Callithrix jacchus: one gene and its partner. The protein of the gene in region 2 interacts with the protein of the main gene of each other region in a pairwise test. Links are inferred from orthologs where the notes say so. Each region holds a gene or a part of one and is shown on either strand. Other genes may lie near its edges.

What was found.
Region 1: the proteins of ARRB2 (region 2) and AGTR1 interact in a two-hybrid assay, tested with the Homo sapiens proteins (2 studies listed by BioGRID and IntAct, with this or other methods). The link is inferred for Callithrix jacchus from reciprocal best matches to the Homo sapiens genes ARRB2 and AGTR1.

Annotation. Positions count from the first base shown.
Region 1 is NC_133518.1:36,555,174-36,558,920, reverse strand, and holds the start of AGTR1 (type-1 angiotensin II receptor), read left to right. Parts: upstream 1-1,090; 5' UTR 1,091-1,312; intron 1,313-3,747. UniProt on the Homo sapiens protein: Receptor for angiotensin II, a vasoconstricting peptide, which acts as a key regulator of blood pressure and sodium retention by the kidney.
Region 2 is NC_133506.1:106,268,550-106,272,296, forward strand, and holds the start of ARRB2 (beta-arrestin-2), read left to right. Parts: upstream 1-828; 5' UTR 829-918; coding exon 919-941; intron 942-3,747. UniProt on the Homo sapiens protein: Functions in regulating agonist-mediated G-protein coupled receptor (GPCR) signaling by mediating both receptor desensitization and resensitization processes.

The DNA.
Region 1 (3,747 bases), on a different chromosome or scaffold from region 2:
ATGCTAGAAACATTCAAATTATTCTCTCCTAGCTACTCTGAAATATACAATAGATTACTATAAACTTTTGTCACCCTGCTCACCTATCAAACATTAATTGATTTTTGGTAAACGAATACTGCTTTCTGGCATCAATCTCGCTTGACCACGGTGTATAATCCTTTTATTCATTATTGGATTCAGTTTGTCAGCATTTTGAGAATTTTTTTTTTTTCTTTAGACAGAGTCTCGCTTCGTCGCCAGGGGCCAGGCTGGAGTGCAGTGGCACGATCTCGGCTCACCGCAACCTCCGCTTCCTGGGTTCAAGCAATTTTCCTGCCTCAGCCTCCTGAGTAGCTGAGACCACAGGTGCGCGCCACGACGCCCAGCTAATTTTTGTATATTTTTAGTAGAGATGGGGTTGTTGAGAATTTTTATCTATACTCATAAGAAATGTTGATCTGTAGTCTTCTCGTGATGTCTTTAGTTTTGATATCAGGGTGATACTGGCCTCATAACATGAGTTGCGAAATCATTCTTACTCTTCTATTTTTTGGAAGAGTTTGCGAAGAATTTATATTATTCCTTCTTTAAATATTTGTTGGGTGTTTTAAAATACATTTTTTAAAAATGCAACTTAGGTAGCGTGTCCGATAGGGGGAAATGATTGTCCACCCTTCAATTTCATAACCCTGGAATTAATCCATGTAATCTATGATCCACAACGGTATTACCAAATTCAAATTACTCGTAGGAAAGAGAAAGAAGTTCCCTAATTTGTCCTTAAAAGTTTTCCAAGTTCAAAAAAAAAAAAAAATGTTGAGGAACATAAATCTCCGCCGGAAAGGATACTCCTGTACCCCCAGCTCACTCTCCCTCACGACCCCTCGCTAGGCGGGGTTCGGGGCCAGGTGAACGCTGATCTGATAGCTGACACGGGACCACTGTGGCATCCTTGCTGCCGTCAGTATCCTAAGAGGGAGGAGGTTGGGCCGGGAGGGTCTCCCGGGGCGGGGCGGAGGAGGAGGGAATGCAAAACAGAGCCTCGTCCCCGGAACCCAAGAAGCAGCAACGCCCCTCACTATAAATTCGGAGCTGTCTCCTCGCGGATGATTCCTGCTCCTGACAGCCAGAACCCCAGGCACCGAGTGACAGGACGTCTGGACCGGCGTGCCGCCAGCAGCTCTGCCGGGCCGGGGCGGTGATCGATGGGGAGCCGCTGGAGCGGACCCAGCGAGTGAGGGCGCACAGCCGGGACGCCGAGGCTGCCGGTGGAGACCCGCACCAGCGCAGCCGGCCCTCGGCGGGACGTGACGCAGCGCCCGGGGCGCGGGTGAGTCCGCGCCGACCGCCGGGCTTGCTTGGGGGACTACAGGCGTGGGGTGCTAAGTTTTATGTCACGGTGTCCTAACTGCTAGCTCTATGCTGGGAGGTTTTCGGTGACCAAGGAAAGAGCGACCGTAGTTCTGGTCAGCGCCTGCCCCTGGAGCTGGCCACACTTCCCCAAATCAGGTGAGGGGCTTCTGGAATGGGAGGGAACAAGGGGGGTTTGTTTGCTACCTGCCCTGAAATTCGCAATCCCATTTTGACCAAAGTCTTCCACGTGCAAGCAAGAAATCTACAGAAATAATTTACAATTCAATAAACTTTCTTCCTGAGGCTTTTAGTTAACTCTTGTCTTTTAGCCATCATCTGAGTGGGAAGCCAATATAACTCTGCAGAGCGTTCGTTTGAAAGTTGTGCTACTTTTGAGGCGAAGTTAAGAGTGTCCCCATCCATGCCCTTTGCTTCCCAGACAATGTCCCAGCACGGCTCACCTCCCCTTACCTCTCTCCCTACAAACCATAGCGGTAGGTCCTAGACACGGGACGTTACTCCAACCTGGGCCAACCTCTCCCACCCTCAGGCTTCCCAGATGCCCTTTGAATGATCAAACTGAGGAAGGAGAAGCAGGAGGTCTCCACACCCCAATCCCTACAGCCTTAGCCTGTGTGTATGTGTAACTGAAACAGGATTTTAGCAAAAGGTCTTCTGGCTTCCAGGACTAAACAGAGCCTCTGGCAGGCCACTGCTCACTCACCGCTCGGCACTTCACTCCATCCTCCAATTTTCTTAAATGTCCAGGTTAACGTCTTCACAGTACCAGCCTGCTAGAGCCCCCTCGAAGACAGCAGCAATTCTTCCAAGCGTCTCCTTCTGCACTGCTTTTAGGGCTACCACTTGTGACCTGGCTGTTGAACTCACCTGGACCTTTTCTCTTCGTTTGCTAATAGCCTCGTTAAGTATTAAAAACCTACTCCCAGCCCTCAGGTGCCTTCTCTTAATGAAAGTTTGGGTGCTCACTTTCCCCTAGGATCAAATTTGGGACTTGACTACATTTATTTCCTGTGTCATTCTGAGAAGAGAAAGTAACAGTAAGAGGCAGGAAATTCGGCACCCTACTGATCTACTTTATTACTTTGTTGAGAAACTTATGCTTCCTCCTGAAGGTGCTGTATCCCAACACGATTCTCTTGTTAGTTACCACCTAAGGATCTTGGCTCTCCAGGTGTTTATTTCCCATAGCATATTCTTTAACCCCCTTACAAGTCTTCTCTAAGAAAGAAACTGCCATACTGCCCTTGTTTTTTTCTGGTGTTTCCCTAGCTATAAAGGCCCCACGTGCATAGCCTGTTCTCAGGCTGTGATGTATTCCGTAGTGATGCCCTGGTACCTTCCTTCCTCTCCACCACCCTTCTTGACAGTGTAGGGTCAGGAAAGCATGGGGAGAAGGGAAATGGAGACTCCCACTTAACTGGCTGTGTGATAGCAGGAGCATTATTTAACAACTGTGAACCTCAAGTCTCTGCCCATAAGATCCCCTCCAGTGATATAATTCCGTAATTTCTTTTAATTTTTTTCTGGTGATTGCTTTAAAATAAAAGTCTAAGCTTAAGGCTAGGTTATAGAAACTGCCAATCATAATTGCTAAGTCTCAACATCTGCTTAAGTTTTGTGATTCTTAGTTTCAAGTCTGTTATCCACTCTGTCTCCACCTGCCCTCCCCCTGCCACACCCCCCCCGCCCCGCCCCGCCCTGCACCTTTTTTCCTCTGACTGCATTGTTCTTTACTCCCATCCTGAGGCCTTGATTTCTGGTTCTGCTCTTTGACCTTAAACTGAATGAACTGTTCCATCATCCAACTCAGAAGAAAACTGGTTTTCTTTCACTGGTTCCACTGATGCCAATGGAAGACTTGTCTCCCTTGCAATTTGCAAAAATGTCTTTCAGTCATCGGTGCTGTGGCAATGCTCCTGTCCCACAGCATTCTAAGTTTAAATCTTTTTCTCTCTTACCCTGGGTCAGTATTCAAAAAAGGACAAATTTGTGGGCTGAACACTTTTCTCAGTTTTCTTTTTCTTTTGAGTTTGGGGTCAGAGTTGTGTGTGTATGTGTGTATATAATTTTGTTTTGGTTTTTTGTTCCTCCTGCTACTTAGGACGGCTGTTGTTATTTCGACTATGACTAATTAATACTAATGACTAACTTTCTCCTACCCTAGGGGGAAATAAGGAAGACAAGTTTAATCTGCTCCTTCCCCAAAGCCCAGGAAAAATACTTAGCTGAGAAGGAATTTAAAACTCATAGTTTAAATGCATGATGCATGTCTGCTGTCATTTTATGTGTGCTGCCACAGTGCCCTTTCAAACAGATAACTGAGAGTTGCTGTATTTTGCTTTTGAATTTGTTACAGGGACAAAAATAGTGACCCCTCACATTTACGTGTTT
Region 2 (3,747 bases):
CCTGTAATCACAGCTACTGGGGAGGCTGAGGCCGAAGAATCGCTTCAACCCCGGAGGCAGAGGTTGCAGTGAGCCGAGATCGTGCCACTGCACTCTAGCCTAGGCGACAAGAAAACTTAGATAAAAGAAAAATAAAAATAGGCATGGATGGATGGGTTGATAGATGGGTGTGGATGGGAGAGAGTGAGTGGATGTTACCTGGGATGAGTGGCTGAAGGAGACTGATAGAGAAATTGGAACAGGGAACCCTGCAAAGATCAAATGTAGACATCAGAGGGAGCTGACAAACTGCAGTAAAGATGTGGGAGGCCGGGCCACAGAAAGCGGCACGCTCCGAGGCGAGCGGACGAGCGGCGCGCACTGAAGCAAGCATCACGTAACTGAACCGCTCACCCACGTGTGCATCCCCTCTTTCCTCCTTCTTAGACGGCTCTCCAGCTCATTCCAGCAGCCCCAACATCCCCGTCGCCCCCGCCGCCACAGAGAAAGCAAACCAAAGGGAGGAGACCCCCTGCAGGTTTTGGATGCCCAGGGCCAATCGAAAGACTTCGATCCCCTGGAAGGCGGGTGCATTGGTTTAAGGAGGTCCAATCGGTTTCCAAGGGGTTGCGGTGGGGCGGGGAGATGGGCGGGAAGAGGGGGAGCGGGCCCCCTGGGACGCAGCGCGAAAGGCTGGGGGCGGAGCCAATGGGCGCGAGTGTCTGCTAGGAGAGGGCGGGCTGCGCCGCGGCGCGCGCGATCCGGCTGACGCATCTGGCCCCGGTTCCCCCGGACCAGAGCCGGGCCGGGAGGGAGGGGAAGAGGCTAGAGCGCGGAGGGCGCGCGTGCGCAGTGGTGCGGGGAGGAGCAGGGATCTTGGCAGCGGGCGAGGAGGCTGCGAGCCAGCCGCGAACCGAGCGGGCGGCGGGCGCGCGCACCATGGGGGAGAAACCCGGCACCAGGTAAGGGAGGTGGGGCCACGCGGCAGGGTATGGGCGGTGGCTCGGGGCGGGTGCTGGTACGGTCCCAGACGAGGACACAGCGGAGAGGATCTGGGGGCCGGACACCTGGGTCCCTAGGGGCAGCCATCCGGGGCCGCACGCGCAGGTCTTCGAGGATAATGGTGGGGGGGAAATGCCCGGGCCCCTGCAGAAAGCGAGGCTTGAGCGGGGGATGAGAAAACCGGTGTCGGGGTTCTCGCAGGGATGTGGGGCTGGACTACTGGGCTCTCCGGTGCAGGCTGCGTTGCAGGGACAGAGGAAGGAGGAGCAGGTGGCTGGCCCTGAGGGGTCGTGTACCGGAGGCTGGATGCCGGAAGGGGGGATCACCTCTAGACTCGTTCCAAGCCAATGGAAAGCCTCCAGTCCAATATCCCCCAGGCAGTTGCGCTGACCACACCTGTCCCAAGGCCGAGCGGCTCCTCATCCAAACTTCTACCTTTCCCTGGGTTGCCAGGAGCAACAGCTTCATCTTGGGGGAGCCGTGTGTGTGGCGACCCTCCCTGAAACTGGATCGTATCCCTCTCTCTGTGGGTTGTGGAGGCAGTATTCACCCTGGGCACGCGTCCACTCCCCGGATGTTTTCTGTGCAATCGAGGCTCTTTCCTTCCACTGACACCCTGAGTTCTCTTTTTTGGTCTCTAGCAAAATCCACTTCCTGTTGTGACTCAACACCCCCAAGGGGCAAGGGGTGAATGCCTGAGTCCCGGGGAGCAGGAGCAAAAGGCGAAAAGGTTGGGGCTGTAGGCCTCAACCCAGAGGGGCTCAGGAATGGGGATTGGTCCTGAGCTCTTGCTTGCTCTGCAAAACATCATGTCGACCCCACTTCCAACCTATGGAGTATGAGAACCTGGATTTCTGTGCATCAAGTAAACGAGTATCAGAAAGAGATGATCAGAGAAATAATCGGTGTCCTGGATTAGGGTTTAAACACCCCAGAGAAAGGGGAAGTTGCTGACTTGTGGGAGGCCCCAGATTTCCATTATGTGGTTCAGGGAGTGGGACAGATGGACCAAAGGGACTGCTGATTTGGCACAATTTCCTGCACCCCAATCAAATTCTGGGCCACAGGAAACAGAAGAGCAGGAAGTGTGAAAGGACGTCTGCTTCAGCTACCCCCTGCCTCCCACTGGGCACCTCCCTGGTCATCCCCATGCTCCCCCTCCTTGTCCAGCCTAGTATATGCACGCTGCTCTTCCCCAGCCTGGCAGAAGGTGGCTGGGTTAGGATCCAAAGGGCAGGTGCCTTGCAGCTGCTCCAGGACAGTTGCGCCAGAGCCACACTCCAGTGGGCCAACTGATTGTGGCCGTCACAGCCCTGTGCCAGGGCTCCTAATGGGAGGACACCCTGGGACAAAGGAAAACCAGAAGCAAAGAGGCAGGAGAACCTGGATGATGCCACGGCACTAAGCCCCCAAGCTGGAACAAAAGATAGGGTGTTTATTCTAGATGCCGCCATATTGATGTTTATTCTCCTTTATTGGTTGGGAATACCTGGGGGCCTCCATACCCTTTGCCTTACAAGCTTTGGACAACTTGACATTCTGGGAAGAAGGGGCAAGTGAAGTTGTAGCGGAAACTGGGCCTATGGTAGAAACTACTTTAGGGCCAAAGGCCAGGGTCATTGCTCTCCTATGTGCTCCAGCTGTCAGAGCTGTAGACCAGATGGGAAGATGGTTAGGTCTTACTCAGACACTTAAGCAACCTGCCCATTTGGGTCCTCTGGGAATGGGGTGGTAGAGTTGGAGGAGGGATGGGCTAGTTGGCAGGATTTCACTTTTTACTATCTGGGACCTTTTCCTATCTCTGCTGAGGCAGAATAGAGTAGAAGCAGCAAGGTGGTGCTTCAAAGAACAGACCACAATTAACTGGGGTTGCCAAACCCTTCCTTACCCAGCCATGGGTGGAATCCAGGCTGAAGTTGTTTCAGCAACTGGAAAGCGAATACTCTTCAATTCAACAAACTATTAATGCCAACTGCAGAGACAGATAGTATAATATTGATTGAGAGTATGGACTTGGAGCCAGACTGCCTGGGTTTATATGAATTCCCACCATTTACTCTCTCTGTGACCTTAAACAAAACACTTGACCTCTCTCTGCCTCAGTTTCCTCACTTATAAAATAGAGATATTAGGACCTCCATCACTGGGTTGTTTTATTTATTTTATTTAATTAATTTATTTATTTTTGAGACAGAGTCTTGCTCTTTGCCCAGGCTGGAGTGCAATGGAACAATCTTGGTTCACTGCAACCTCTGCCTCCCAGATTCAAGCAGTTCTCTTGCCTCAGCCTCCCAAGAAGCTGGGATTACAGGCACGCACCACCACACCCAGCTAAATTTTGTATTTTTAGTAGAGGCAGGATTTCCCCATGTTGGGCAGGCTGATCTGGATCTCCTGACCTCAAGTGACCTGCCCACCTCAACCTCCCAAAGTGTTGGGATTACAGGCATCAGCCACTGCTCCCAGCCTTCTTTTAATACGCTTAACCCAATGGGCCAGGTGCAGTGGCTCACGCCTGTAATCCCAGCACTTTGGGAGGCCGAGATGGGCGGATCACCTGAGGTCAGGAATTGGAGATCAGCTTGGCTAACATGGGGAAACCCCGTCTCTACTAAAAAAATACAAAATATAGGGCAGATGTGGTGGCTTAAGCCTGTAATACCAGCCTTTTGGGAGGCCAAGGCGGGTGGATCATGGGAGGTCAGGAGTTCAAGATCAGCCTGGCCAATGTGGAGAAACCCCATCTCTACTAAAAATACAAAAATT